2 linked regions of the Elephas maximus indicus genome follow. Each later gene encodes a partner of the first gene's protein in a complex. Links are inferred from orthologs where the notes say so. Each region holds a gene or a part of one and is shown in the gene's direction. Other genes may lie near its edges. The genes, in order: CENPA and HJURP.

Region 1 (15,539 bases):
TAATGGTTAAGAGCTACGGCTGCTAACCAAAACGTCAGTAGTTTGAGTCCACCAGGCTCTCCTTGGAAACCCTACGGGGCAGTTCTACTCTGTTCTTTAGGGTCAGTATGAGTCGGAATCGACTTGATGGCAACGGGTTTGGTTTTGGTCCTCCAGCAGATTGGAAATCTAAATTGGAGGAGAGAGGAAACAATTTCACTCTGCCTAGGTATGTGGACTTAAAAGAAAGGCATACCAAGAGTATGGACTGAGATTTCCTCAATTATAAATGAAGGGGTTACATTTCCAAACCATGTTTTAGTTTTATGAAGTGCTTTCAAACTTTTAATGATACTATAAGGCATGCACCATTATCACTATTTCGCAATAAGGAACTGAGACCTAGAGAGGTAAAGCATCTTGTTCAAGTTTCCACTGGTAGCCAGCTGCTAAGTGACAGAGCTGGAATTATACCCCAAGCCTTCTGAAACCTAGTTTCCAATGCCACAAAGCTCTCTCAAGCCTGTTCTGACTCTTAAAGTTTTATAAGTGTGCTATAAAAAATATTCCTACTTTCTGGAGAAAACAAAAACAAGCAGCCCTCCTTCAATTCACCCCCACTAAGCCCACAAACAGACCTGTATGTGGATCTTTAGTCTCTCTACCTTCCTTTACCTATTAAAGGCCAGTCTTTCCTTGGGCTCTACATCTCCCATTTCTCTGTTTTTCACAGAAAAAGTTCTTGAAAGAATTGTCTTCCTTCAAGCCTCTATTTCCTCAGCTCCACTCCAATCTGGTTTCCATCTGCACTCGTCCACTTAATCTGCTCTTATCAAGGTCACCAATGACCTCTGTGAAGCAAATCCAAAGGCTGATATTCTGAGTTCATCCTTCTTGACCTCTCAACAGCAGCATTTGATACAATTGGCCACTCCTTTGTTCTTGAAACACTTTCCTGACTTCTGTGACACTATATATTCCTGGTTTCCTTCTCCAACAAACCTCTAAATATTGAGCGTCCCTTTCTCCCTAGATAATCTCATCTAATGCTATGATTTTAAAAACCATTACGTGCTAATGATTCCCAAATTTATGTCTTCAAGCCCCAAACTCTCCCCTGAGCTCCAGGCTTATATCCAACTACCTATCTGACATCTCCACTTAGACAGCTATATAATGCGCATCTTAAACATAACATGCCCCAATACTCTTGATTTCCCCTTCAATTGGTTCCTCTCCCGGCCATCTCTACCTCACTAAATGGTTACAGAACATCTACTCAAAAAAAAAAAAAAACCCAAACCCATTGCTGTTGAGTCGATTCCAAGTCACAGCAACCCTATAGTACAGAGTAGAACTGCCCCATACAGTTTCCAAGGAGTGCCTAGTGGATTTGAACTGCTGACCTTTTGGTTAGCAGCCGTAGCTCTTAACCCCTACGCCACCAGTGTTTCCAACATCTACTTATGTGAGTCAAAAACCCAGGAGTCATCCTTGCTTCTTCCCCCATCCGTATCATTGGCGAGTGCTATGGGCTCACTTCCAGAATGTATCTCAAGACCATCTTTGCCCTCCTCCACTGCCATCACCCTTTTTTTTGGGGAGGGGAGCTAGGTTACTGCCATCACCCTGTCCCAGCCTCCGTGAGCTCAGGCCTGGACAACTCCTGCTTCATTGGAGTCTCTTCCTATTCCACCCATTTGCTTTCTACCCGGCAGCCTGAGCCATCTTTTAAATGTGAACAAGATCATGTCAACTCCCCTGCCTAAAATCACTTAGTGCTTCCCAGTGCAATTAGAATAAAATTCAGTCTCCTTACCCAGACCTTAAGAAGCCAGGGTGGTTCCGTGGTAGAATTCTCACCTTCCATGCCAAGTTCAGGGCCCCTGGTGGTGCAGTGATTAAGAGCTCGGCTGCTAACCAAAATGTTGCCAGTTCAAATCCACCAGCTGCTTCTTGGAAACCCTATGGGGCAGCTCTGCTCTGTTCTAAAGGGTTGCTATGAGTCGGAATCGATTCCATGGCAACAGGTACGGGTTTGGTTTCATGCCAGGTTCAAGGAGCCTTGGCGGTGCAGTGGTCAATTGCTCTGCTGATAACTTAATGGTTGGTGGTTTGAACCCACCAGCTGCTCCGCAGGAGAAAGATGTGACAGTCAGCTTCCATAAAGACCACAGTCTTAGAAACCCTATGGGCCAGTTCTAATCTGTCCTATAGCGGCATTATGAGTCGGAATTGACTTAAGGGCAATGGCAATGGGTCTCCATGCCTGGCTTGATTCCTGACCAGTGCTCCTCAAGTGCAGCTACCGCTTACATGTTGCTATGATTCTGAACCAGTCTCAGTGAAGCTTCCAGACTAAGATAGACTAGGAAAAAAGGCCTAGCAATCTACTTCTGAAAATCAGCCATGAAAACCCTATGGATCACAACCATCCAATCCCTTTGTGCATGGGATTACAATGAGCCTGGGGCCAGTTTGGTGGCAGCTAACAATAACAACAACCCTGACCTAAAGTCCCACTCTCCTCTCCCTGGCCACCTTTCCGTTTCTGGGAACATGCTAAACTCTTATCTTTCCACTTGTAGTTCCCTCTGCCTGGTGCATCCCCCCTCCCCCCACTTCTTCTTTCACTTGCTGGCTCCTTCTTATACATTAGACTTCAGCTCGAATCTCACCTTCACAGAGACTTTCCATGGCCACCTATCTAGAGTAGACCACTACCCCTACCCCAAGTTACTCTATCCAATCACTGAGTTTATTTTCATAATATGTAATAATTTTTTCATTAGTTTATTTATTATGCTTTCCCCCTCCCACCAGAACATAAGCATTATGAGGGCAAGGACCGTGTCTGTCCAATTTGCTGCATTATCCCCACCCCCTATATCAGTGCCTGGCACATAATAGATGCTCAATAATTGTCTGTTAAGTGAATCATGAAAATTGTGCAGACAAAAGTGATACGTTCTATGTCAGTGTTGTCCAATAGAAATACAATGTAAGCCACTGCTGTAATCTTAAATTTATACTTGTTAGCTGCCCTAGAGTTGGGCCCTACTCACGTCGATCCCGTATGTTACAGAGTAGGCACATTAGAAAAGTAAAAAGATACAAATAAAATTAATTTTAATATATTTTATTTAATGCAATATATCTAAGATGTTAAGGACCCCTGGTGGTGCAGTGGTTAAAGTGCTCAGCTGCTAACCGAAAAGTCCGTGATTAGAAGCCACCAGCTGCTCTGTAGGAGAAAGATGTGGCAGTCTGCTTCCATTAAGATTTACAGCCTTGGAAACCCTATGGGGCAGTTCTGCTCTGTTCTATAGGGTGGCTGTGAGTTGGAATCCACTTGACAGCAATGACTGGTTGGGTTTGGGTTTTGGGTATCTAAGATATTATTGTTTCAACATGTAAGCGATATAACAAATTAATAATAAGATATTTGGTATTAACTTTTTGTACTAAGTGTTCAAAACTCAGTATGTATTTCACACTTACATCACTTCAGATTGAGCAACCACATTTCAAGTGCTCAAGAGCCACATGTGGCTAGTGCCTTCCATCCTGGACAGTTCAGCTCTGTGTCGTTGTTGTTTGCTGCCATCCAGGAGGCCCCTGACTCATGGGAACTCCATGTGTTACAAAGCAGAACTGTTCCATAGGGTTTTCTAGGCCATAATCTTTATGGAAAGAGCCCTGAGGGTGCAGTGGTTAAGCCTCAGCTGATAATGGAAAGGTCAGTGGCTCAAAAGATCACAGCCTTGGAAACCCTACTCTGTCCTATAGGGTCGTTATGAGTCGGAATCGACTCGACAGCCACTGATTTAGTTTGGTTTTGGTAATCTTTACAGAAACGGATTCCCCAGGCTTTTTCTTCCTCAGAGTCCCTGGGTGGGTTTGAACAGCCAACCTTTCTGTTAGCAACCAATCGCAAACCACTTGCCCCATCTAGGGCTAATAAAAATTCACTTTCCTTAGCTAAGAGAATTTATAAGAGTGCATTACCACTAGCTGGTCCTCCTCTCCACTCTTTCAATTCTCCCCCTGCTGTCTTCAGCCACACAGCTGGGGGAGAGGGGATAAACCAAAAAACCAAACCCATTGCCATTGAGTAGATTCTGACTCATAGCAACCATATAGGGCAGAGTAGAACTGCCCCATAGAGTTTTCAAGGAGCGCCTGTGGATGTGAACTGCCAACCTTTTGGTTAGCAGCTGCAGCACTTAGCCACCACACCACCAGGGTTTCCAGAGGTCGTATGGTGTCTGAGAAATGTTTTACTTAATTAGTGGGCAGCTTGTACTCTAGCTGAGAGGGCAGAATTAAATTTCTGAGTTTTAGATATTGTACCCTAATGTCCTTTCCCGTCTTCCCCACTGTCCTGTCAGAGAAATTGTGTAGTCATAGAACAAGTAATGTTAGATCTGACTTAGCAACCTAATTAAAAAAAAAGAAAAATGCATAACGAATCTGTGGCTCAGCAAAGTAACAGTGACTTTCCTGAGATTACACAGGTTCCATCAACCCCCACACCCTCACCCTCTAGTCCCCATCCACCTTCTTCTGATGAGGTCACTAATCGCCCATCCCTACATCTAGCCAAACAGGGTAACCTTTGCTCTCCAAATGACCTCCGCTGGTTTGCCTCTTCTCAGGCTGTGATCTTTGTTTGACACACCATTCCTCCGTCCCCTCAGTCCCACCTTCCCAAATCCCTCCCAATCACCATGATTCTGCTCTACCTTCTTGAGGAAGACTCCCAAATACCCTCAACCTCAATACCCTCCACCCAAGAGTTTCCCCCAATTCCCTCTTCATGGCGCGGTGTCATATCCCTCATCATTTTCATGATAATAGCTTTAGCAAATGCTTGTTCTTCCTTCTTGTCAACACTTCATCACAATTCAAACCTTCAGCAAAGGTTTGCATCACCACTTCAGTGCTTGCTGACTGCTTTAATTTTTTTCTTACGCATTATTCTGTTTCACACTCTCAAATACCTCTAGATGACTCTTATTATCCCCATTTACAGATGAGAAAACTGAAGCTTAGAGAAATTCAGTAACTTGCCTTCACACCTAGGGGCAGGTCTGACTTCCCTTACTTCAAAAGACCACACTCTTAAACACTGTAACATGTGCATAATTGAAATCACTGATTTTTTAATTAATATTTTTCCTGATTATAGTACAAGCTCAGTGTGGATCATTTAGAAAATGCAAGAAAGCAAAGTGTAGAAAATTAAATCCCCTTTTTTTCTAAGACATGAACTGAATTCATATTATCCCCTAACAGGACAAGATGGAGCCAAGGAAATTAGAAGAAGTCATTAAGTCAAAAGTGTGATCCAAGAATAGCGATGAGGCCTGCCCCGCCCGAAACTCATGGCCAGAAGCCTGGTGATCCTGGTTGTCCCCTGGGCCCTAATAGTCAATAAAGCTTATGCAGTGAAACGACTTCTGAGTCATATTTAGAGGGTGTTCACGAAAGAGTCACAGGCACAACATGGAATTGTCATATCCCAGTGGGGTCACTAGGGTTGGTGTCAGCTAGTGTGGTAACTCATTGTGTCTCCCCTCTGCACCAAGGACTTTGGCTTTGGCCAAAATTTTTTTTTAAAAAGCCCTTCTCTCTTTTTATTCCATAGCTTTTACATTTTATAACATTTAAATAGAATCTTCTTAAGCAAAGATATGCAGTACTTTTCTCACAGGTTTCCTTAAAAAGTAAAATCTGGGGAACATCTACATCGGGTGGCTAGGGAATGCCTTTTGAGCCCAGCAGTGATTAGCTCCCTCTGCCTCACTGTGAGGGATACTGTGCTGCTGCCTCAGACTGGGGAATTCCTCATGCTTCTTACTTGCTGGGTGCCATGGATGTCAATTCCCATGAGAAGGCATCCTCTGTAGAGGGAGCTTCCCCAGTAGTTATAGGCATGGCAGCTGCCTTTATTGAGCTTTTCTAATGGATCAGGGATAAGGACTATTCTTAAAAGAACAAGAGTGCATTACGTGGGTTAGTGTCACCCAGTGCAGTAACTCATAGTGTCACCCCTCACCCTGCATGGACCTCATCCTGTACCAGACCATACAGAATCCACAGTAATGTTTTTGTACTCATGCTACTTGTAAATCGTAATTCTGTATATCACTACTTCTTTTCCTTTAGTTACTACTTCATTCTCAAAAAATGTTTTGATATAGGTTCACAAATACTAATTACCACAATATTGTAGCTAAAATATCAGAAAATTTGACAAAATCGACGACTATAAAAACACTGGCAACAATGAAAACAACAGCACATCCTTGTTGCACGGTATAGACAAAACTACGTGATTCCAAGCGTCATCATAATTGGATAACAATGACAGCTCTGACCGGAGTGCATTAACCCCAAACCAAACCCATTACTCTTGAGTGGATTCTGACTCATAATGATCCTACAGGACAGAGTAGAACTGAGCCATAGGGTTTCCAAGGAGTGGCTGGTGGATTCGAACTTCCAACCTGTTGGTTAGCAGCCAAACACTTAACCACTGAGCCACCGGGGCTTCAAGAGTGCGTTTGCACGTTCAGAAAGTAAATTAGCATGGAGTTTCAGCCTTGTAGATATATTGATACATATAAGCTGGGCTTACAAAAAAGTTTTTGTTGTTATAACTACAGGGATTTTTTAAATAAAATAATAAATTTCTGCTGAAACACTGCGCAAAAATTTTATAGACAGTCATTTTGGTGTCACCTTCTCCGGCAGTGTCACCTGGTAGAGTCAGCACTTCCCACCCCTCAACCCTGCTCCCAGTGACGTCACTGCGTACTCCCTGTGGACCTCACTTTCCTCATCTTCAAATGCTAATTTACAGGGTTGATAGGGCCAAACATAAAATGTCTAAGGAAAGTAATTTTTTTTTAGAGAAACGCGTTCTACAAACGCATTTTTCAAATTGAGCTTGCTCTGTTTGAGCATCGAAGCCCTGGTGGCACAGTATTAAGGCGATTCACTGCCAACTGAACGGTTGGCGGTTTGAAACCACCAGCGGCTCTGTGGGAGAAAGATGTGGCCAACTGCTTTTTACAGATTTACAGCCTTGGAAACCCTATGGGGTGGCTACGAGTCTGAACCGACTCCACGGCAGTGAGTTCGGTTTGGGGCTTTGACCAGCGGTCACACTGAACGAGCGATCTGACTGCTCAGAGAACACCCTCACGAACGAGCCGCGGCAGGAGAAATTCCCGCCTTCTTTCACTTCGCCAAGTGTCGGTTGGTCGGTTTCACCGTCGATCCCGGCCCTCCTCCTATCACCGCCCCGCTGCGTTCCCGCCGGCCTGTGTTCTCATTGGTCCACCCCGCAGCCTTCTACGCCATGGGCGTTCCAGAGTCAGCCACTGGGAGTAGCTGAATTTGGGTTTAAAAAACGCCGGTAGTGAAGTAGCCGCAGCGAACGTTTTGAACGGGGATTCAGCGTTGTCTACCCTCCGAGCGACAGCTTCTCGGACCCACGCGGCCCTGGGCTCTCGGACGCCAGCCTTTCGCCCCCGAAGCCCGTGGAGTGGGGCCGCACGCTTGGCTCGGGGCCGAGCGCCGACCCCTCCGGCCCAGCCATGGGCCCGCGCCGCAGGCGCCGCAAGCCGGAAACCCCGCGGAGGCGCAGCCCGAGCCCGACGCCCCCGGCCCCGCGGCGGCCCTCAGGTAACCGGGCCGCGGCCCCTTTCCCTCCGAGCCGACTTGCAGCCCGTCTGTGAGGCAGGCACGGCCGGTCCGCGTCACAGACAGGGAAGGGCACTCGCGTGCCGGGCTGGAGCTGCGGTAGAGCCGGTGTCGCCCGCCTCCCGGCCCAGTGGCCTTTCTCCGCAAGGGGCCGAGCGGCCCTGCCATCGGGCAGGGGTCCCGGGAGCGGCCGAGGGGCTGGACAAGGAAAGGACTGCATTCTCTTTATTGTTTATTGAGCCCTTACCCCTAACAGCTCGGAAGAAAGGCCTGGTGATCTACTGTCCCAAAATCGGTCATTCATGGGGTTGCCATCAGCCTGAATCAACTAACTCCACGGCAACTGTTTTGAGTTTCGTTTTAACCACTAACTAACAAGGCATTGTGCTAAGCTCTTTAGGTACATTATCTCAACTGTATATTGTCCCTATTGTACCGATGAGAAAACTGAGGCCCGATGACTTGAGCAAAGTCACCCAGCTTGTTCCAGGAGATACGGGATTTTTAAAAATCTGTGTTTGTGCTTTTTAAAATTGCGTAAGTATTGGCGGCTTTCAGTAACAATTTCAAACGCAATCCTGCTCTTAGAAGGGATCTTTCCAGGGTTGTTTTCTTCAGTGAGTGGCAGTGTTGGCGCTGAGCCAAGCCCGCTAACTCCAAGAGCTCTCACTCTGTTCCCTTCCATAAGTTGTGTCCCTGGGAAGGAGGACCGAGTTGTGGTCCTCAGTTTCTGTCCTGTGGATGGGTGGCAGCAACTGCTTTACTTATCTTCTAACTCTTGTTCTATAGCCAAAAAAAAATCCAAACCTGATGCCGTCGAGTGGATTCCAACTCATAGCAACTGTTTAGCTTATAGCTAAGGGCAGGGTGAAAAATGAGTGTATTATAGGTTATATAGAGAGGCTGCAGTTGTGATTGGGGTTTTTCTTTCCTAAAACATAACCTTTGCATCCAGCCACCTTGCTGAATTCTCTTGTTCATCCTAATAGTCTTTTAGTTGCTTTAATTGAAATTTTTGAGTAGACCATTATATTGTCTACAAATAATGACTTTTATATTCCTTTTTAAGTTCTATGTGTTTTTATTTATGTTTTCTTATTGTATTAGCGAGGCCCTGAGGCTAATATCGAAATAAGAGTAGTGCTTTGGCTATCTTCGTTCCTGATTTTAACAGGAATATTATTAAGTATGATATTATCTGTTGCTTTCTTATGTAGAAGCATCCTTCCACTCCAGACTAAAAGTTTTTTCTCAAATGGGCACTGAACACTTCTGCACGGGCCCTTGGTCAGATCCTCCTCTCACCTTCTCAGAGCCTTTCTGTTACCCTTTCTACCTGTGCTTGGAATTCAAGCTCCTTGTATTTTTTCCTCCATAACTGAGATGCTTCTGGTATTGGTTATTTTGTTTGCTGAGCTTGGTTCCTTTCATGCTGTTGGCTTTCTTAAGTTGTTTGATGAGTTTTAGTCGTGTCCATCTTTACATTTTCTGTGACTGCCCTTACCTGTTTACTAAAGGCGGCCTCCAGGCACTGGATGGCTGACTGGTGCAGGGGAGGGGTGGATGCCAGTTGTTTATCTCCTGGGTCTGGGGCCACCTTCTTTCTCCTAAATGTTACTAGTCACCTGGACACTGCTCTGTTTCTTTGGTCCACATTCCCTAACCAGGGATAAAATCTCCACTGCCAGCCATTGGCTCAACTCCCAACTCATGGTAACCCCACGCACAGTAGAACGAAATGCTGCCTGTTCCTTTGCCATCCTATCATCCGTCTGGGATCTGACTGTAATTAGCTGACTTTCAGCAGTAGATCGTCAGGCTTTTCTTCTTACTCAGTCACAGTCTGGAAGCTCCATTGAAACCTGTCTAGCATCATAGCAACACGCAAGCCTCAGATGGATGGTGGCTGCCATGAGGTCCACTGGCTGGGAATTGAACCCAGGTCTCCTGTGTGGAATGTGAGAACTCTCCCACTGAACCACCGCTGCCCCCACCCACTGCCCAGCACAAGCCATCTCTGGATTGCCTTGCCTTCCCCCACTTGCTCTTCAGCTCTTCTGACAACTTTATGATTAGTTTGCCGTTTTAAAACCCTTCTATTGAACTATTTGTGGGTTCTCTTTTCTTGACTGGACCTTAAACAACATTTCAGAAGTTAATTTTGTTCTTCAAGATGTTAGTTTCTGTAGATTGTATTTTTTTTATTTTTTTATGCAAAGTTTTAAACTTATCCGAGATTTGTCCATTTTATTGGTCATTGATTTTATTTATTGAGCAACTGTACTACTTTTTTTTTTAATTAATTTTTATTGTGCTTTAAGTGGAAGTTTACAAATCAGGTCAGTCTCATACAAAAATTTACATACATCTTGCCATACACTCCTAATTGCTTTCCCTCTGTTGAGATAGCACAGTTCTTCCCTCCACTTTCTGTCCTTGTGTCCGTTCGTGTAGCTTCTGGCCCCCTATGCCCTCTCATCTCCCCTATATTTTTTGTTTATTCTTTTTCATTTATGTTGCATTACCTTTAATACTTCTTTTGCTCTAATGTTCTCTTTGTAACACATGAGTTGAATGCTTAGCTCCACTATTTAATGTTCTTGTTTTGTAATAGGTATATTTTCAGATCACATGTTTTTCTCTAGTAATACTTTCACTGTATCTCATAGGTTTTGAGGTATAGACTTTTTATTGTTGTTCATTTCTAAATTGTCTAATTTCAGTTAGATTTCCTCTTTAACATGTTATTTAGAAGAATTATTTTCTCATATTCTTGTGTTTCTAATTCCTAGTGTCAATATAGTTGGTCAGAGAATTTGGATTTTATGATTTCTACTTTGGGGGATGATTTTAAAGTTTTTTTTTTTTTTCTGGCTGGAACCAGGATTTGACCAAAGACTGTGACTCAGTGTACTGGCACTGAGCCGTGCCACTTCTGAGGTCCCAACTCAGCCACCAATGAGCCTTGACCAAGTATCTTCATCTCTCTGGGCCTCAGAATAACCAAGACAAGGAAATTGTACTAGACACTCTCTCAGATTCCTTCCAGCTCAATAGAAAACTAAAAATAACTGAGTTTCCAATCTAAGTGGGTAAGGCTTAAGAGATGCACAGTCTTGTAGGACCCAGAGGAGGGAGACTACTCATCAGTTTGGAGGGGATCAGGATTTTGGAAAGGTTTCATGGGAGAGTTGGCATTTGAGATAAACCTCAAAGGATCATTGATGCATTCACTTAGCAAATATTCGTTTGGCGCCTATCTGTTGTTTCCTAGGTACTGGGGATAATAGCAGAGAATAAAATAGACAAAAACCTCTGCTGTTGTGGAGCATAGCACTGTCTAATGATTTCACAGCTTCCCTGTCTCAGCCAGGCTGTGAGGCACTACTTATTTTCCACTGGACTTTTATGACCCAACTCTTTTGCCCAGGCGCTTCCTCTCGTCGGCGTGGCCAGTGGAGACCTCGGGTTTTGAAGGAGATCCGAAAGCTTCAGAAGAGCACAGACCTATTGCTAAGGAAGAGGCCCTTCGGCCTCCTGGTGAGCTCCAGGGAACTGTCTGCCAACCCCTATGCCACCCTACTTTCTTTAGATTTCCCAGGTATCCAGGAGCTTACTATCTCCTGCCTGAATGTTGAGGGACCTCTTTTCTAATCTGGTAGGGGATACTCTTCATCTTCTGAAAACATGAGCCCTCCAAAATTACCTTCTAATTCTTTATGGAATTAATTTCTAACCCCCAGTATCTTTGAAACTGGGCTCTTTGATTATATAAATAGAAATTCTTTCATCTACCCACCTTTTGGTTTCTTTCCCTACCCTGAGAGATGACGTCCTCATCTCCCTCCCCACCACCAATGGGAGACATATCAGTTCCTGTAGTCACTGCTACTGAGTTAGGTCCTGCCAGGAAGGAATAATGAAAATGAGAATTCATTGGAAACTCTTGGAGAGAGTCGTCTTCCTTTGAATCTCTTTTACGCTCTACTCCTCTCCCTTTCCCCTTCTCCACTCGTCCCTATCCCAACTCCTTCGCAGGCAAGAGAAGTATGTGCTTTTTTCACTCGTGGTGTGGACTTCAATTGGCAAGCCCAGGCCCTGTTGGCCCTGCAAGAGGTAAGAAAGGGCAAGGCACAGTTGGGTGAGGGGTGGGTGTGGGAAAGGAGGACTTCTTGAATTCCACATGCTTACCAGGACATAAGGAGCCCTGGTGGCACAGTGGTTAAAGTGCTTGGCTGCTAACTGAAAGGTTGGTGATTGAAACCCACCAGCCGCTCTGTGAGAGAAAGATGTGGCAGCCTGCTTCCATGAAGATTACAGCCTTGGAAACCCTATGAGGCATTTCTCTTCTGTCCTGTAGAGTCACTGTGAGTCAGGATGGCCTTGATGGCAACAAATTTTGATCAGGACATGGCTGACTAGATTGTCACAAGCTGAATCTTGTCCCCTTGAAAAGAGCAAGAAGTTAACACCCAAGATTTTGGAAGCTGGATCCTTGTTTGATGGCAGCAAAACTCCCAGGCACAGTTTAGTCTCATTCTGTGAATAACCTTTCTTACAGTCTTTGAGCCCTCAGAGACTAAGTTAGCAGGTCCTGAAGAAAAAAAGCAGTCCGTACCCCCTCATCTGTGTTAGCCTTTCTCTTTCTATTCTCAGGCGGCAGAAGCATTTCTAGTTCACCTCTTTGAGGATGCATATCTCCTCTCCTTACATGCCGGCCGCGTTACTCTTTATCCAAAGGATGTGCAACTGGCCAGGAGGATCCGAGGCATTCAGGAAGGACTCGGCTGAGCTGCACCACTGTATCTGTAAGCCTTTCCTGCCCACCCAAAGGGCGAGTGCACTTTGGAGAGAAAACATCCAGCTTCTCATCTTGGGTGGGAGTTTCTCCAAAGGAATTTCCCTTCTTCATCCTTAGTCCTGCGCTATCTTGCCTCTTCTCTAGAAAAGTCTGCAGTTGGTTTTAACTGCTTGGAACTCTGGCTCATGCCTTTTTGTACAATGTTAAATAAAGATGTTTTTCTATTAAGTAATGACTAGGACAACCTGAATCTCTGGCAGAGTAAAGCCTCTCCTTTTTACAAGGACCAGATACCTCATTTTTATTATGAGAATTTTTTCTTAATTTCAGAAATACCAGGGACTCTCTGGAGCTGTGGCCAGATCCATGGAGCCTGAGGGGCTGTCTCTGGGGCAGTATGACTGTATGGCTTTTTTTTTTTTTTTTAAGAAGGTGAAGACTACATGGTTTCCTCTGTAACAGAGGTAATATGTGAGGCACTCAACGTAGTCCCAGAGGCCTGAGAATTATTTTTAGATGAGAGACTCCAAGGATGACCTCAGTTTGTGAATTATTCAAATGACCATTTTCATGATTTGGAAAAGTGGATTTGCCGGATTCTAGGAGAAAAGGAGATTTACTTATTATTTTAGACCTTTCTGTATTATTTACGGCTTTTACCATATGTATATTTACTTTTATTTGAAACTTAAGGGAAAAAATACAAGAAGACCACTTCAGTCATTTGCATAGAAGGGCCTGGCATGTCTGGCATATAAACTGTACCCTTCAGGTTAATCTCATCTTTAGTGGCAGCATCAACTTAGTGAGTGGACTGTCCTGTCAACAAGTTTATAGCTTTTCAAAACTTTAATTGTGGCTGACATAAAAAACGTTTAAGGTTTGATGTTCTAGTTCTTTCCAGTAAGTTCCTATTGAAATTATTCAGAAATTCTAACTTGTAGAATTTAGCATGTCCTTCTTTAAATCACAAAAGATGTATAATAATTTATGCTTTATAACCAGTATTTTAAGATGCTTTTTCAATTGTTTTATAGATATATTTGTAACTTCTTTGTAGAGAGATAATAAATATAGTTCTTTAGTGAAAAAATTTAAAATAAAGATTAACCAATTATATTGTATATATATGTATATTTTCTTTTGGGGGGAGAGAATATTTTAACATTAAGCTGTATTATTTTGTACTGTTTGCAAACCTAAACAAGAATTGAGGAAAGTATTTGTGCCTCCAGTGGAGGAGATTTTAAAACCTTGTGTTTCTGTTGTACCTGAAAGCCATTTAAGAGATGTCCAGAAAAATGAGAAGTGCCACCCAAAGATTTTAGATTTTGTGTGTGGTGAAAAATGATTAGGGAGAACAGAATACTGATGATGACATGTTAGTCACCTGAATTCAAAGACAGACTAAAGGACAGGACCAAGTTCTATTGTTTAATAAACAAATTTTAACCCTTCAGAAAAACTTCTCACTGTTCCACATCAACTCATATTTATGTAGACATTGAAATAAAGCTTATTGATCCATGAATATGTTGAAAGTTCTTATCAGTATCATAAATTAGATCATAGTCTTCCACTGGTTTTCTTTAAATTGACACTTCTCTGTTCAAATTGTGCTGACTAATATCCAAACCCATTGCCATCAAGTGGATTCCGATTCATAGCAACCCCATAGGGTTTCCAAGGCTGTAAGTCTTTATGGAAGCAGACTGCCACGTATTTCTCCTGAGGAGCAGCTGGTGGGTTCAAAACACTGACCTTTTGGTTAATAACCAAGTGCTTTAACCACGGTGCCACCAGGACTGTGTACGAACCAGTACACCACTATAATACATGTATGTCACACCAAAGTGCCAGGCAGGACGCATGCTCTTGCTCGGGCACCACGTAGTATTTATATAGTTACATGAGAATTGAGTTACCTCATGATATGTTACATAACAGTGTTGCTGTTTACTGTAAATTTTGAGCACTTTGCTGTTGTTTGTATCCTCTTTCCGGGTTATTTCATCATTATCCTCTTTCCATCGAATTTTTCTATTTTCATATTTTTAGTATCGGAGAATTCTTTGTTGTTGTTTAATATTTTATTAAGGTGAAAGTTTACACAGCAAATTAAGTTCCCACTGAACAATTTCTACAGAAATTATTCAGTGATACTGGTTTCATTTTTCACAATGTGTCATCATTCCCATTAATTCCATTGTGGTCGTACCAATTCCGGTACTCTAGTTTCCCTACCCCTCCTCTCCCCCCCGCCCCCCCACCTCCTCCACTTTGCTTTAGAGTAATTTTTGACCATTTGGTCTTCTATAGGTAATTTTTTTTTAGGGAGCTCGTTACTCACAGTGATATTCTTTATTTTATAAGCCAATCTGTTATTTAGCTAAAAGGTGACCTCAAGGGATAATTTCAGTTCAAAGTTTATGGAGTATCTCATGGCAATAGTCTTGGGGAATCCTCTAATCTGAACTGGTTCAGTAAGTATGGACTTTTTAAGAATTTGAGTCCTGTTCCACATTTGTCCCGTTCTATCAGGATCCACCTTTTGTGGCCCTGATCAGAACCGTTGGTAGTGGTAGCAGGACACCATCTAGTTCCTCTGGTTTCAGGGTAGATGAGGCAGTGGTTTCTGTAGACATAAATCATATAGACTGCTTCTCTAATTCTTTGGTTTCCTTCTTTCTCTTTTACTCCAGACACGTAGAGACCGATAGTTGTGTCTTAGAAGGCTGCTCACAAGCTTTTAAGACCCAAAACACTACTCACTACACAGGGATGTAGAACATACACTTTGTGAACTATATCATGTCAATAATTGGGTTGTCCCACATGACTATGGTTCTAAGCCTTCAAACTCAGAAAACCAATCTTGTGAGATGTTTGGTTATGTCTAAGGCATATCTGTAACTGTCCCCTATGCAATTCATTATATATGCAAATATACATGCAAGTACACACATACCTGCATATACCTATAGATACTATATCTGTGCATAAATAAGTACCCACGTATTCATACCCATGCACATATATGCCTATA
Region 2 (15,178 bases), on another chromosome or scaffold:
AAAGTTCCAAATATATATACCCGATTTAACGATACAGATAAATCTGGAATGTAAGCAGGATATTTGCGGAAAAAAAAAAAAAATGCTGCGGAATCAATTGCAATTCATGGTGACCTCATAATGGTATAGAGAAAAACTGAGTTCCATAGGATTTTCTTGGCTATAATCTTTATGGAAGCAGATCACCAGATTTTTCTTAAGTGGTGCCACTGGGTGAGTTCGAACCACTAACTTTTCAGTTAGTAGTGGAATGCAAAACATTTGTGTCACCCAAACAAGTTGTTGTTGTTAGGTGCCACAGAGTCAGCTCCAACTCATACCGACCCTACGTACAACAGAAAGAGATACTTCCTGGTCCTGCGCCATCCTCACAATTATTGTTATTCTTGAGCCCATTGTTGCAGCCACTGTGTCAATCCACCTCGTTGAGCGTCTTCCTCTTTTCCACTGACTCTGTACTTTGCCAAGCATGATGTCCTTCTCCAGGGACTGATCCCTCCTGACAACATGTCCAAAGTAAGTAAGATGCAGTCTTGCCATTCTTGCTTCTAAGAAGCATTCTGGTTATACTTCTTCCAAGACATATTTGTTTGTTCTTTTGGCAGTCCATGGTATATTCAATATTCCCCGCCAACACCACAATTCAAAGGTGTCAACTCTTCTTCAGTCTTCCTTATTCATTGTCCAGCTTTCACATGCATATGATGCGATTGAAAATACCATGGCTTGGGTCAGGCGCACCTTAGTCTTCAAGGTGACATCTTTGCTTTTCAACACTTTAAAGAGGTTCTTTGCAGCAGACTTGCCCAATACAATGCTTCTTTTGATTTCTTGACTTCTGCTTCCATGGCTGTTGATTGTGGATCCAAATAAAATGAAATCCTTGACAACTTCAATCTTTTCTCCGTTTATCATGATGCGGCTTATTGGTTCAGTTGTGAGCATTTTTGTTTTCTTTATGTTGAGGTGTAATCCATACTGAAGGCTGTGGTCTTTGATCTTCATTAGTAAGCTCTTCAAGTGTTTTTTTTTCTTTGTTTGGAAAACCCAAACAAGTAAGGATTCCTAAAGAATCTAAACTCTGGAGATTTTATAACAATTTCAAGAAATAACTGTGACCAATGAGAGATACACAGAAGTAATTCTTATTTCTTGCAAGAAATAAGAATATTAGAAGCAACGATGAAAGTGGTTGAGTTTCAAAAGATAAAGATAGTGGAGAAAAGACGTAACACTATTAACTTAAAAATTAATTCTCAGTAAGGACTAGATGCATTAAGATTTTTGAAAAAACAGAACAAAGTGTCTTCTGTTTCTTTCAAACTCACCCCAGTAAATAATGGGAGTTAAGAAGGAATTGCAGTTGGTTAGTAAAAGAAGAAAAGGAGAAGGCAATCCTAGAATATTTCTAAGGAAGGTGACTTTTTAAAAAAAAGGATTTATCTCACCACCCAGCGGTGCCATGGAAGAAAGCCCTGGCAATCTGCTTCCATGAGGACTATAGCCACAAAAATCCTATGAAACTCAGTTTTAGTCTGTAACACATGGGGTCACCCAGAGTTGGAATCGACTCAACAGCAATGGGTTTGGTTTTTTGCTTTGTTTCATTTTCTTTATATTTATTAAAAACCTCTTTGAATGTTATTCACACATAACAGAAGAGCCAATCTTTGAATGCTCGGGAGAAAGATGTTCTAAGAGTTTTCAGATCCATAAATAATGGGGTTGATTTAAAATAGGTCATCCAAATTGATCTAATTGCTTTCTATTTTTAAGGTAAATTATTTTCATTGATTTTTAAAATGGATAGCCCATTAAAACACATTAATCATGACCCTAAAAGTGTATCGGTATTACAGAAAGCCAAAGGTGAAGAATAAAAAGCAATTTCTCACCACATGAAACTGAGGCAAAACACGACCAACGAGAGCTGTAGCCCTACTTTCCCAGGAAAAACATTTCTGGGTGAAAGCTGGAAGGTGAGACATCATTAAGATAATATGTTGTGCAGCAGTGTGACAGCACCTGTAGAATATTTGAAGCCATGTGTGTCTTATTTGGATAAATGGTCTCTAATTTTGAAGGCCAAGTTGAAAACCAGGGCTTTGAACTGGTTTTCCCCGGTTCAGTCATGGCTAACTAAGGAATTGAAACTGGAACAGACCCAAATTTTCAAAATTTGGGTGAACTGAAATGATAATCAGAGCTGGAAAATTTACTGGTTGAAGCCCTGTTGGAAACTTAATCTCCGTCTTAGAAAACAGAGGCAGCATATGTGTTGCATAGCAACCAAATCTCTTGCCCATTGGATTTCAAGCAGAGTTGGAAACAGTGGTGCCCTGCTCAAAGATGGCGCTTTGAATGTCTGTCTCTCTCCACAGTCCTGCCAGTAATGCAGCCTCACACATCAGGCTCCCGAAAGGGCTCACTACACCTCTTTTGAGTTTCCCATTCCAGGGCTGAAACCTATAACTTTTCCCATTCTGGATTACCCAAATTTTAAAAATTCAGATCTGTTCCAGTCTTACTTCGTCAATCATGACCGAACTGGTTTGAACCAGTTCAAAGCCCTGGTAGAAACATATGATTGGTTTTGCTGTGTTTTTATTACATGAGTAACGTTGTTAATAGGAGCCCTGGCGGCACAGTAGCTAAGAGCTCAGCTGCTAACTAAAAAGTCAGCCGTTTGAAATCACCAGCCGCTCCTTGAAAACCCTATGAGGCAGTGCTCTGTCCTACAGGGTCACTATGAGTCAGAATAAACTTGACAGCACACAACTACAACAACAATGTTGTTGTTGGAGCCCTGGTGATGCAGTGGTTAAGTGCTCAGCTGCTAACCAAAAGGATGGCTGTTTGAATCCACCATACACTCCTTGGAAACCCTATGGGGCAATTTTACTCTGTCCTATAGGGTCACTATAAGTCTGAATCAACTTGATGGCAAGTTTTGGTTTTTTGCTTTAATGTTGTTATCGTTATTAGCTGCTGTTGAGTCAGCCCCCAACTCATGATGACCCCATGCACACCTGAACGGAACACTACCTGGCCCTGCGCCATCCCCATGATGGGTTGTGGATCGAAATGGTGTGATCCATAGGGTTCTCACTGGATGATTTTCAGAAGCAGATCACCAGGCCTTCTCCCTAACCTGTCTTAGTCTGGAAGTCAATGAAACCTGTTCAGTTTTATAGCAACAAACAAGCCTCCGCTGACACACAGGTGGGGGCTACACATGACAGGCATTGGCGGGGAATCAAACAGGTCTCTGCATGCAAGGTGAAAATTATACATGTTCTTAATTACACAACACATGCTCATTCTAGAAAATGCAACTACGGAAAACTAATATCAAAAACAATCCATAATACTATCATCAAGAGATAAACTTGGAAACAATTTGATAAATGCATACTCGAATTTTCAAAATATATGATGTGTATTTTTCAGATGCAGATGTATAATACATATACTTACAACCCCCTTTTATACACAAAAAAATCATATACACTTTACCAGTTGATGTCTAGTCGATTCCAACTCACAATAACACCATGTGTGTCAGAGTAGAACTGGCTGATTTTTTTAGTAGATTCTCAGGCCTTTCTTCCGAGGCACCGCTGGGTGAACTTAACCTCCAACTTTTCGGTTAACAGCTGAGCGCATTAACCCTTTGTACCACCCATATATTTCAGATGCCAGTAGTAGTTTTTCAAAATTATGGTTAATGGAAACATAAATACATTTCTATCACAATTTATTTAACCACCCTTCTAGTATTGGACTTTATAAAATGTGTTTCATTAAAGATCCCACAGCTAAAACCTTGCTGAGGTTCTTACTTACTTAGGATTGATTTCAAAAAATAGACTTACTAAATCAAAGAATGGTCACGTCTGAAGACTGTTTTACACGTACCACCAAATTGACCTCCATAAATATTTTACAAACTAATGCTTTCCCAAAGTATAAGAGAATATTCACTTCTTCACACCCTAACCAATATTCCTTGTTCTAGGTGACACAGTGGTGAAGAGCTCAGGCTGCTAACCAAAAGTCAGCGGTTTGAATCTACCAGCTGATCCTTGGGAAACCTACAGGGCAGTTCTACTGTGTCCTACACGCCGCAATGAGTCAGAATCGACTCAACGGCACACAACAACAACAATTGATAGTTTTAAAATTGTGATTCATGACTTTTGATTTAGAGGTGGAACATTTCGTATGTTTTGTATTTCATCTTTTGTTGATTGCTGACTCATGAACTTTGCCCTCTTCTCTATTGGGGTTTTCATGTTCCTCTTTACGTGTTTATATTATTAGCTCTGAAATATATAATTGAACTACTTTTTCTGTTCTATTGTTATCCCATTAAAGTTGTCATAGGTATTTTTTCTCATAAAATTTTTCAGTTTTATATATTCACAGACTTAAAAATATTTTTTTATGTTTTTTGCCTTTGGTGTCTGTGGTGAAATCCATTCCTCTATGCAGCCTTTTCCTTGGTTTTTTGGGAAAGCAGCTTGAGAGATCTTCCCCCTAAGCCCTGAGAAGTTACCTTTGTGCTAGTTTTCTACCCCAGAGGATTTGTTACATTTCCTGGGTAAGCAGTAAACAACTTGGTTTGATACTTTTTGTCTGTTCCTGGGCTGTGGTCTGTCTGCCTTATGATTGGTATGCACCTTGCAGGGACTGGTCAATAGACTAGGCAAATCAAGTGAATATGGAGTATGTAAATGAGGTGACTATAGTCTACTATGCAAATGAAGTGTCTATGGCCTACCCATGATTGATTGGTCAGTTTGTGCCCCCGCCTTGAAATTGACAAGGAGTTGTGTGGGTGGTGGGTATATATGCAGCCAACCCCACAAAGACAAAAAGAAACAAGAAGACAGTAAGCAAGAGGAAGTAGAGAGGAGAAAAACGAGAGAAGAGAGATGAAGCAGAGAGAGGGAAGTCAAAGAACCTCCTAAAAGAGCTGTAACATGGGTCGAGGGCTGTAACTCTGAAGACAGCAACACCAATGAGAAGGAGAAAAGAAAAACAAGAATTTTCAAACAGCTCTGCTTTTGTGAGCTTTGGCTGACACCTCATGGAAAGTCAGCTCTTTGCCAGCAATCTCACAGCTTCTCTGCATCAGCCTCAGAGCAATAGAAGACAGCAAAACCTTTACTTAGCAGCCTAACAAGTGGGGCTAACATAGTTCATTCAGACGTTTTTGCTGATACATAGTCGTTTCTATGTCAACGCTGGGACCACCCAAAACCAACCAGAGACTGATGATGACATTTCCACACCTTTCCATCACAATATCATTTACATGTCAACTCTATGCAGAATAAATTCCCATCGAGGTCAACAATTTGGATTCCACCAGGCGCTCCGTGGAAACCCTGTGGGGCCGTTCTGCTCTGTCCCATAGGAACTCTATGAGTTGGAATCAACTCGACGGCAATGAATTTGTTTGTTTGTTTTGAGCAAAATTCAGGCACATTTTATGAGAGTAGCTATAAAAAAAATCCGATGAAAATTATTTCCTGTCTACATAATTGTGAACAGATCTTTGAGGGTGAAAGTTCCAACAAGGCCAGCAGAGGGTGCTGTGCAAGGGATCCTGCATCTCTACTGCCTAAGGAAGCCTGTGAGCCCCCCAGGGGCTGCACCCAGCCACTTCCCATGCCACTTGCCCTGCCAAGGAAGGAGCTGAGTTGTAATGCTTCCCTGTTTCATGGAGATGGGGAGTGGTGAGGAAGCAGTTTTGTAGCAGTTCTGGGTTCCTGAGGTCACATGCTTAGGCTGTTACCGGTGGATGGAGGTTGTAGGAAAATGACCTCAAATTAGGAGCGTGATGCAGGGTTCCTCCCTCCTCAGCTGGGCTGCCACTTTGGCCAGGGGCTGGCCAGACAGAGACAATGCATGCTAAGGCTGGCTCAAGGGGGGACTGGCAAAGCAGAATTTTGGGGGTCTTTTTTTTTCTCAGTTAAAGATTTCGAAGCTGTCAACTAACAGGTTTTTGTCAAGCAGACTAGCGAATTGAAGTCAGCCAGACGCAGGGTTGTAAGAACAGAAAGGTGCCGGGGGCCAGCCTCAGCAATGAACAGGGTTACCAGAGGAGGGGTAGAGTTCGGCGAAAAAAAGAATGAGAGGTAGTGTGTCTTATATTTTCATTTCTGCAGAAAAAGAAGCCCTTCTGCTCTTTATTTTTTACATGGTCTTTTATATCATAAGCTTACAAAAGCATAACATCGCATGATCAATAAAGGGGCAGTACAAGATATAATCATAAACATCATTTCCCAGAGACATAATTTTCCAAGTGACACATAGTACAGTTCCGCATACACACACAAGTACAATGAATTTTTGTTTAATTGAAGAGAATATTTTGTTGATATATTTTTACACAAAGTAACAATTGACTTCATACTGCTTTACACTTTATGCTTAATCTTGCAATTCCTTCCACAGTTTTTATAATAATTAATCTTTTTGCAAAAACCATTGCCACATAGGCTTTGTCCATTTTGTCCAGGGTGGCCAAATTTTTGAAGTCCAGCCACTTTGGGTTACGTCATATTGTCCACGATTATGCCAAGGACAATTAGCCCAATCTCTATACCCAAAGACCAGTCAAGAGCAGCAGTGAGCGGGGTAGACGAGAAGGTTGACCTGTAATTGGCTGAGAAATTGGCTGAGAGAACTCACTGCCTTTTGTTTTTCCACTTTTATGGGGTCATGTGTGGGTGGTGGTTTAATCACAAAAGGGCCTTGGTAAATACCAGGATTTCACCATCCTATTCTTATTTTCCATAGTCGAGCTATTTGTTTTTCCCCTAAGACAACTTCATGTTGATCCCCAAGTAACACACGGGCTGTCCCTACCCGAGATTTCACCAGGGGATTATGAGTAGGACGCCCCCCGTCCAAAGGTCCCTAAATCTATAATGGAATTTTATGCTTATACATTCTGCTATACACAGGCTGAAAATGAAATAGAAACATAACACAGATGACAGAGATATTCCTGACTTTTCAGGAATTCTTCGATGTTTATGCTAGGGGCAGTGGGTGCAGAGGGGCCGCCCTTGCAGCCTGGCTCTTCCTGACTTTTCAGGAATTCTTCAATGTTTATGCTGGGGGCAGTGGGTGCAGAGGGGCTGCCCTTGCAGCCTGGCTCCTCCTGACTTTTCAGGGATTCTTTGATGTTTATGCTGGGGGCAGTGGGTGCAGAGGGGCTGCCCTTGCAGCCTGGCTCCTCCTGACTTTTCAGGGATTCTTTGATGTTTATGCTGGGGGCAGTGGGTGCAGAGGGGCCGCCCTTGCAGCCTGGCTCCCAGCAGAAAGGTTTACCCAGTTTGCAAACTGGGAGGCACGCAGGGTCTCTGACCTAAGGCTGCCAGCTCCCTGAATCAGGGCAGATTTGCTCCTTTTATGCGGAGTGGCGTTCATATGCATGAACAGTGAAGGGAGGATCTTCAGTCTTGTGATGCACGCACAGTCCGCAAAATTTTAGTGAATGGGTTTTTGAACATGGCTCTAAAAATACTGCCCACAGCCCTGAAAAAATGACAACGGCTCGCTCTTGCCACCCCAGGAAGGTCAGAAAGCGGGTAGGTTCAGAGTCAGTGTGCCTGTGCTTTGGTCTCCTGCCAGGATAAACAAGAAAATTGTAACAAAAACGGAGCAAGAGTAGACTTTTTTGAAAAACAACTATTATGGGATGGTTAATAACCTTTTCATGACGGCCTGCTTCAATTTTACCTTGAGAACTCTCTCTACCGAAGCAGCCCATGAGCCCGTGGAACAGAGGCAGATTCCTGGGATAGTCAGTGAAGCCAGCCAGGAATGCCCTGGAGCAGAAACCCCAGCAGTGTCCCAGGACCGGGGACCAAGTCCTAGGAGAGGCAAGTTTTGAAATGGGGTGCTATTACGTGGGTAGAGGGTCACAGAAGAGAAGGCTGTCCAAGGCTTAGAGGAGAAGCAAAAGAAAACCTTGCAACATTTTGTTCTGTTATCATAGGGTCGCCAGAGCCAAATCTACAGCACGTAACCCTGGTGGCATAGTGATTAAGAGCTACAGCCACTAACCAAAAGGTCACCAGTTCGAATCCACCAGGTGCTTCTTGGAAACCCTACGGGGCAGCTCTTCTCTGCCCTACAGGGTCGCTGTGAGTCGGATATGCTTATATAAGCATAGAGAAAGGTTGAACCAATCTTAATGAAATTACTAGCTCAGGTGGGAAACTAGAGGGGGGCTGTAATTTTTACTTTCTCTGTGTTGTTTTGGAAACCCTGGTGGCATAGTGGTTAAGAGCTATGGCTGCTAACCAAAAGGTCGATAGCTCGAATCCCCCAGACACTCCTTGGAAACTGGTGCAGTTCCTCTCTGTCCTGCAGGGTCGCTGTGAGTTGGAATTGACTTGATGCCAACAGGTGTGTGGTGCTGTGTTGTTTTAAATAATCTATGCTGAAGATGCGTTATCAGAAAAGAACCACCAAGACATTCCCATCTAAAAGAGAAAGACTGAAAAAGACTGCTCTGGTAGCAGAGAAAGGCACCAGAACCTGGATGTCAGAGAGGAGGCAGAACAGATTTATCACCAGGCTAGTCGTTGACAGAGCGGATTCCATCTCATGGCGACCCCATGTGGTAGAGTATAACTGCTCCATAGGGGTTTCTTGGTTCGTGACCTTTCTTTCACTGAGCCACTGAGTCAGCTCGAACCTCCAAACTTCAGATTAGCAGCCAACTGCAACTGCAGGCACCACCCGGGCTCTATGGGTTAATAATACATAGCTCAAAGAGCTGCCGTTGAATTGTTAATTAATAGGCGCAGAACGGCAGGAAGAGCTCCCCCGCGGCACTCCCCCGCCCGCACCCACCTCCGTGCCTTTCCTATAATCCCGCGCCACCGGATGGGGCGGGGCCGGGGACTCAGGGGCGGATTGGCCGGCAGGAAGTCGCGTGTATACGTTTGAAAGGCCCAATCAGCGCCCGCCTCACAGCACCAGCCAATAGGAAGCCAGAGAATGGCAGGAGGGCGGGAGCAGCGTATTTGAACGGCGGCGGGAGCGGCTCTCCGGGCGGCCCGGACTCGCGGCGGCAGCCTGTGCGCCATGGCGGCCGAGGGCTGCGAGGAGGCCGAGCTGACGCGGAAGCTCCAGGACAGCCGCCATCGCTTCCAGAGGCGCATGCAGCAGCTGATAGAGAAGGTACGGCCCTCAGCTCCGGCTGGAAGGGGTGGCCAGGCGCAAGGCTAGCGGGACTAGGGTGGGGGAGTCGGGGGCTGGGGTGCAGGGACCTGGGTGCAGGGAGGGCGCGGGGAGACGGGACCCGGCTATGCGAAGGGGGAAGGCAGGTCCGGGACCGGGTGCAGGGAGGGTGCGGAGAGGGGGGAGCCGGGCCGGGAACCGGGTGCAGGGAGGGTGCGGAGAGGGGGGAGCCAGGCCGGGAACCGGGTGCAGGGAGGGTGCGGAGAGGGGGGAGCCGGGCCGGGAACGGGGTGCGGGGAGGGTGCGGAGAGGGGGGACCCGGGCCGGGAACCGGGTGCGGGGAGGGTGCGGAGAGGGGGGAGCCAGGCCGGGAACCGGGTGCAGGGAGGGTGCTGAGAGGGGGGAGCCGGGCCGGGAACGGGGTGCGGGGAGGGTGCAGGGAGGCAGGGATGTGGACTGAGGGGATGTAGAAAAACCGCCCAGCTATTCAGTAACTGTGAACTAACTGGGGGTGGGCGGAGAGGTTGCCTGGAGGTCTGACCTAGTGGGACGCCCCGTCCCCTGCAGTACAACCATCCCTTCGAGGACACGGTGCTGGTGGAGATGGCCACACTGACCTACCAGACGCCCCAAGGTAGGAGTTAACTCTCATTTCGGTTTAAAATGTGAATAGCGTCTTGTAGAGTTTTGAAATCCTGGCCGTGCTTTTATGAAAATAAACCTTGTTCATCTGACTAGAAATGAATTCCTGAAGACATAGATGGTTAAGAATGCACCTGCCTGGGTTGGCATCACAGCTCACACTTATGCTCCTGTCATCGTGGGAGAGTTGCTTAGCGTGGCTGAGGCTCAGTTTCCTCATCTGTAAAATAGGTATTGTAACAGTTAGGGTCCTGGTGAAGCCCTTAGGACAGTACCTGTGCCCTCCAGCACTTACGTTGACTGTCATTTGTCTTGTTTGACTTTGAATATTAACTGTTCTCCTTGAGGTTCTGATAACTTGAAACTTAATCCCAGTATGGGAAAGGAGCCATTCTGTTTAGCGATGGTGTTGCAAACTGATCTAAGTCAGTGCATTGCCCGCTGCCCGTTGATTCTCTGCTGTGAATGAGGTCAGTTCCTCTCTTCTCACTACTCCTTACTACTAACTCACCACCAAAGATGTTGTCGTTAGGTGCCGTTGAGTCACTTCCGACTCATAGCGACCCTATGTACAACAGAACAAAACACTGCCCAGTCCTGCACCATCCTCGCAATCGTTACTATGTTTGAGCCCATTGCTTCAGCCACTGTGTCAACCCTACTTGAGGTTCCTCTTCTCTTTTGCTGACCCTCTACTTTACCAAGCATGATGTGCTTCTCCACGGACTGATTTCTTCCTGAATCCAAGCAAGCGAGACAAAGTCTCATCATCCTCACTTCCAAGGAGCTCTCTGGCTATACTTCTTCTGAGACAGACTTCTGGCGGTCCATGGTATATTCAGTATTCCTTGCCAACACCATAATTCAGAGGCGTCAATTCTTCTTCTGTTTTCCTTATTCATTGTCCAGCTTTCACATGCATATGAGGCGATTGAAAACACCATGGCTTGGGTCAGGTGCACCTTAGTCCTCAAGTGACATCGTTGCTTTTTAACACCTTAAAGAGGTCTTTTGCAGGAGATTTGCCCAATGCAAATCTTTCTTGACTGCTGCTTGCATGGGCATTGATAATAAAAGAAAGGTAATGATGATGAAAGCGGATCTCAGATCCTGCTGCACGTTAAACAAGCAGGCACAAAACGGTTCATAAGACCTGCTCCTTAAGCGAAGTCCTAACTCTGTGGCTTTTTAGCTGATCTGTCCACACCTCGCTTGCGTACGTACAGTGAACTCGGTGAGTGCTTGTCTCTGAAGATGTTAGGAGCGCCAAAGAGTGTGTGGAAGTGGGTTGCTGTGAACACTAAAAAAAGGAGTATACTTGGTGTGGGTCAAAGGACTAGAATTGGCCATTTGTCACTCGTTTCAGAAAACAGGGAGGCCCTGGTGACTCCCTGGTGGCACGCAGTGGTTAAGAGTGTGGCTGCTAACCAGAAGATCTAAGTTGAAATCCACCAGCTGTTCCTTGGAAACCCTATGAGGCAGTTCTGCTCTCTGGTGTAGCGTTGCTGTGAGTCGGAATCAACCGACAGCAGTGGGTTTTGGTTTTTCTGGTTTCAAAAAATAGCTGAAATTCTCAAGCAGTCAGGGCGCCCTTTTGTTTTCTAAAATAGACCAGCAACCCTGAAACATGTGCAACTGAGTAGGGACTACACATGCCACACGCCCCCACACTAAGCCACAGGAAGGAGGAGCATGGTACAGTCAGTCATGCATGATCATTGATTGGATTGAGGGTAACTATACACTAAGACACCTTCATGCGTATTCATTGAGGCCCCAATTACTAAGGGACCCTGAACATTGGAGATCCTCTCTGGGGGCATCCTGTAGTGGGGAGAACATCCACATTGGCATCTGAGTGTAGGGAGGGTGAGGGGAGGGGATGGCCCAATCAGCACCCCACCTCACAGCACCAGCCAGTAGAAAGCATGCTGTGCATGGCAAGGTTTGTGTGGCTCGTCCCAGACCTTGCCAGATGTATCTCTTACCAGGTGTCCTTTCTAATTATATGTGTAGGTAGAAGGAGCCCTGGTGGGACAGTGGTTAGGGCTTGGCTGCTAACCAAAAGAACCCACCAGCTACTCTACGGAAGAAAAATGTGGCAGTCTGCTTCCATAAAGATTTACAGCCTTGGAAACCCTGTGGGGCAGTTCTACTCTGTCCTGTAGGGTCACTGTGAGTTGGAAACAGCTCCACAGGTTTGGTTTTTCTCTTTAGTGTAGGTAGACTCCATGAGTTCTGTGAGTTATTCTAGTGAATGACAGAACCCACCAGGGGCAGAGAGAGAAAACACACCATGTGAGTGGCTGGTGTCAGGGATGGAGAAGTACAGGGATATGAGAAGGTTTCACATGTTAGAAATTAGCCTCATGCCAATTATTGACACACTTGGGGAGCACTTAGAGCTGGGATGTGGCAAGCACTATGAGTGTTTGCTGCCACTGGTAGCATTAACAAGCATCTCCAGCCTCAGCAGCCACATCATCCCTCCTCAGTAACTTGAACTCACCTGGGAACAAATGGGGGTTTAAGGAGAGATTAAGTATATTGCCCAGGTTCTGCTAGCAACTGAGTGGCGGGACTATGTGTGCCTGATTCCAAAACTCACTGTTTACCCTGTGCTTAGGGCTTGCTCTGTACATATAGAGATGGTCCTCCAAAAGCCCCTACTCTGTAGATACAGTACATATACATTGCCGTATTGTGTGTGTGTGTGTAACACACACATACAGATTGTCCTCTATATATTTTGAGGGCAGTACCCGGCATGTGTTTCTTGTTTTCATTTAACTTTGGGGGTCAGTGATGTAGTTTGAAGAGTTGCTGTCTATTAGATAGGAGAGATTTTCATTAATGACAAATTTTTATCCAGGCTTCATTAAAAAAAAAAAAAAAGTTCAAGCTCACAAGGATGAACAGCAACAGAGTGTCAGCAGTCAGGCTTGGTTTTAAGATCCCTTTCTTTTGCTCATCACTGGTTTCCTTTCAATGCAGGTTGAATAGAAATTCAGCATTTAGGATTACTGACATGGTGATTTTTATTTTTTTTCTTAAGGATTGAGACTGTGGGGTGGAGGACTGATACAGGAAAGAAGCAAAGGACAAATCCAGGTATTCAATGTCAAGTCTGATCACCAACGTGCCTTGCTGTTGATGCGAATGCAACGTGAGCCGTGGTGTGAATGTTGATGTGAATGTGGCATGAGCTGCAACCCCCGCTACTCTGCACCGGAAGCTTCCAGAACTCTGTGCAGGGCCTCCAGTTTGTTTCATGGTGGTATCCTCACCTTGACTCCTCTATTTTTTCTTTTTTTTTCCTGTTTTCAATGACTTACTAAGAAGCATTTCTTCTGCTGCTTGTTGAGTACAAGGAGGACCTGTATAGTTTTAAAGCCCACTATGTAACCTGGTGTTTGCTCTGCCATAGGCCGGTCGGGTTAATTGGATCCCACTTCTGACATTCATTATGATTATTAGCGGGGCCACTGGTGTAGCTCAAGCTCTAGGGAGCAGAGTGTCATGGCCTCCTCGAGGGCAGACGGCTGACCAGCTATGATGTGAGCTCCTGATGGGGACAACTAACTGCTCCATGCGTGTTGGTTACATGCCCCCTGGCTCCATATGCACAGGGTCACGCTGCCTATGCCTTTCCGAGTCATCTAGTGCTACTATAACAGAAATACCACAAGTGGGTTGCTTTAACAAGCAGAAATTTATTTCTCCACAGTAAAGTAGGCTGAAAGTCCAAATTCAGGGCGTCAGCTCAAGGGGAAGGCTTTCTCTGTTGGCCTTCTTGTTAACCTTCCCCTGGACTAGGAGCTTCTCCACACAAGGACCCCAGGTCCAAAGGACATGCTCTGCTCCCGGCACTGCTTTATTGATGGTATGAGGTACCCCACTCTCTGCTTCCTTTCATCTCTCTTTTTTTTTTTTTAATTTTTATTGTGCTTTAAGTGAAAATTTACAAATCAAGTCAGTCTCTCACACAAAAACTTATATACACCTTGCTACATACTCCAAGTTACTCTTCCCCTAATGAGACAGACTGCTCCCTCCCTCCACTCTCTTTTCGTGTCCATTTTGCCAGCTTCTAACCCACTCTACCCTCTCATCTCCCCTCCAGGGAGGAGGTGCCAAGTAGTCTCAACCTTTTATCTCTCATAAGACAAAAGGAGGTGCAGGCCACACCCAGAGGAAACTCCCTTTACCTTGGATCAGGGAGGTGACCTTAGCATGGGTGTTATAATCCCACCTTAATCCTCGTTAACATAAAATTACAATCACAAAAGGGAGGACAGTCACAGAATACTGGAAATTATGGCCCAGCCAAATTGATAACCTTTTCTGGGGGACATAGTTCAATCCGTGACAGTGCTGATTCCCATTTAGGGAGTGGGACTTAACCCTTATGTCAGAGAAGGCCTCTTAGAAGCCTTTTGAATATTTCCAGATGCTGCCTGGTGACCCCTGGGCTCTGCATGCTGCAGCCCTTGTCAGCTGTATGTGCGTGGGCCAGGGTTAGCTTGGGTGTGCGGGCAGAGGCCCTTCGCGGGTGTCTTTGCTTCTCACCCTCCCAGCTCCATCGCTCACTTGCTGAGCAGCACAAGGAGAGGACGAAAGTGCTGCTTCTCCTGAGGGGCGTCTGGGGCTCCTGGTCGGGCATGGAGGCCTGTTACAGCGGGGTGTGTGAGAAGAGAAGCTGGTGGAATATCCAACCTCACGTCTGCTTGTGGAGAGATTGTAGGCTTAAGACTTTACAGCAGCCTGGTAGCATCTCATTACCGAAACGAGCACGTCTTCATTTTCTTCTGCAGGTTGAGGGATCCCCTGTGACGCCGGTCAGCTGGGTGGACAGCCCCGGGCGAGCTGTGTCTGAAGGTCAGTGAGCACCCTCGCACTGTGGGTGAACCCTGACTTGAGTGCGTGTGCCTTGGTGTACGTGTGAGTGGAATGTTTGCAGTGAAGCTGAGGTGGAAAAAAAAAGGGATTGTAAATTCTTGGTGCCTCGTTCTTAATTTTTTATTGAGATTTGCTTTTAAAACTTGAGACATTCTTACATGCCCTTTTACCTGCTTGTAAAGCCCGTGGAGCACAAGGAGCTGTGTCCTGCTCACAGTCTCATCCACGGTACTTGACACATAAAAGGACTCAGATATTTCTTGAATGAATGAATAACTCCCTACCTTTTTTTTTTTTTTTTTTTTAATTTTTTGCCTAGAAAATAAAAAGTTAAAATTTTAATAAGAGTTAAGAATTGCCTTTATGGGGTAGTCCTCCCACCGCTAACTGCCCGCCCCTGCAACCCTCTTTCCTTCCTTCTCAT

What was found.
Region 2: the proteins of CENPA (region 1) and HJURP are in contact, whole or in part, in a crystal structure (PDB 3R45), measured with the Homo sapiens proteins. The link is inferred for Elephas maximus indicus from reciprocal best matches to the Homo sapiens genes CENPA and HJURP. Residues at the interface, in NP_001800.1 of Homo sapiens: Lys64, Leu65, Ser68, Arg69, Arg72, Asp83, Phe84, Asn85, Trp86, Gln87, Ala88, Gln89, Leu91, Leu92, Ala93, Glu96, Ala97, Ala100, Phe101, His104, Glu107, Asp108, Leu111, Leu112, Leu114, His115, Ile132, Glu136; in NP_060880.3 of Homo sapiens: Glu14, Asp15, Leu18, Lys21, Leu22, Ser25, Arg26, Arg28, Phe29, Arg32, Met33, Leu36, Lys39, Tyr40, Pro43, Phe44, Thr47, Pro48, Val49, Val50, Gln51, Met52, Ala53, Thr54, Leu55, Ile65, Trp66, Gly67.

The regions. Positions count from the first base shown.
Region 1 is NC_064830.1:45,049,324-45,064,862, forward strand, and holds CENPA (histone H3-like centromeric protein A), read left to right. Parts: upstream 1-7,385; 5' UTR 7,386-7,586; coding exon 7,587-7,674; intron 7,675-11,122; coding exon 11,123-11,232; intron 11,233-11,730; coding exon 11,731-11,808; intron 11,809-12,348; coding exon 12,349-12,483; 3' UTR 12,484-13,444; downstream 13,445-15,539. UniProt on the Homo sapiens protein: Histone H3-like nucleosomal protein that is specifically found in centromeric nucleosomes. Replaces conventional H3 in the nucleosome core of centromeric chromatin that serves as an assembly site for the inner kinetochore.
Region 2 is NC_064824.1:136,092,985-136,108,162, reverse strand, and holds the start of HJURP (Holliday junction recognition protein), read left to right. Parts: upstream 1-9,093; 5' UTR 9,094-9,117; coding exon 9,118-9,213; intron 9,214-9,780; coding exon 9,781-9,847; intron 9,848-12,910; coding exon 12,911-12,966; intron 12,967-14,669; coding exon 14,670-14,733; intron 14,734-15,178. UniProt on the Homo sapiens protein: Centromeric protein that plays a central role in the incorporation and maintenance of histone H3-like variant CENPA at centromeres.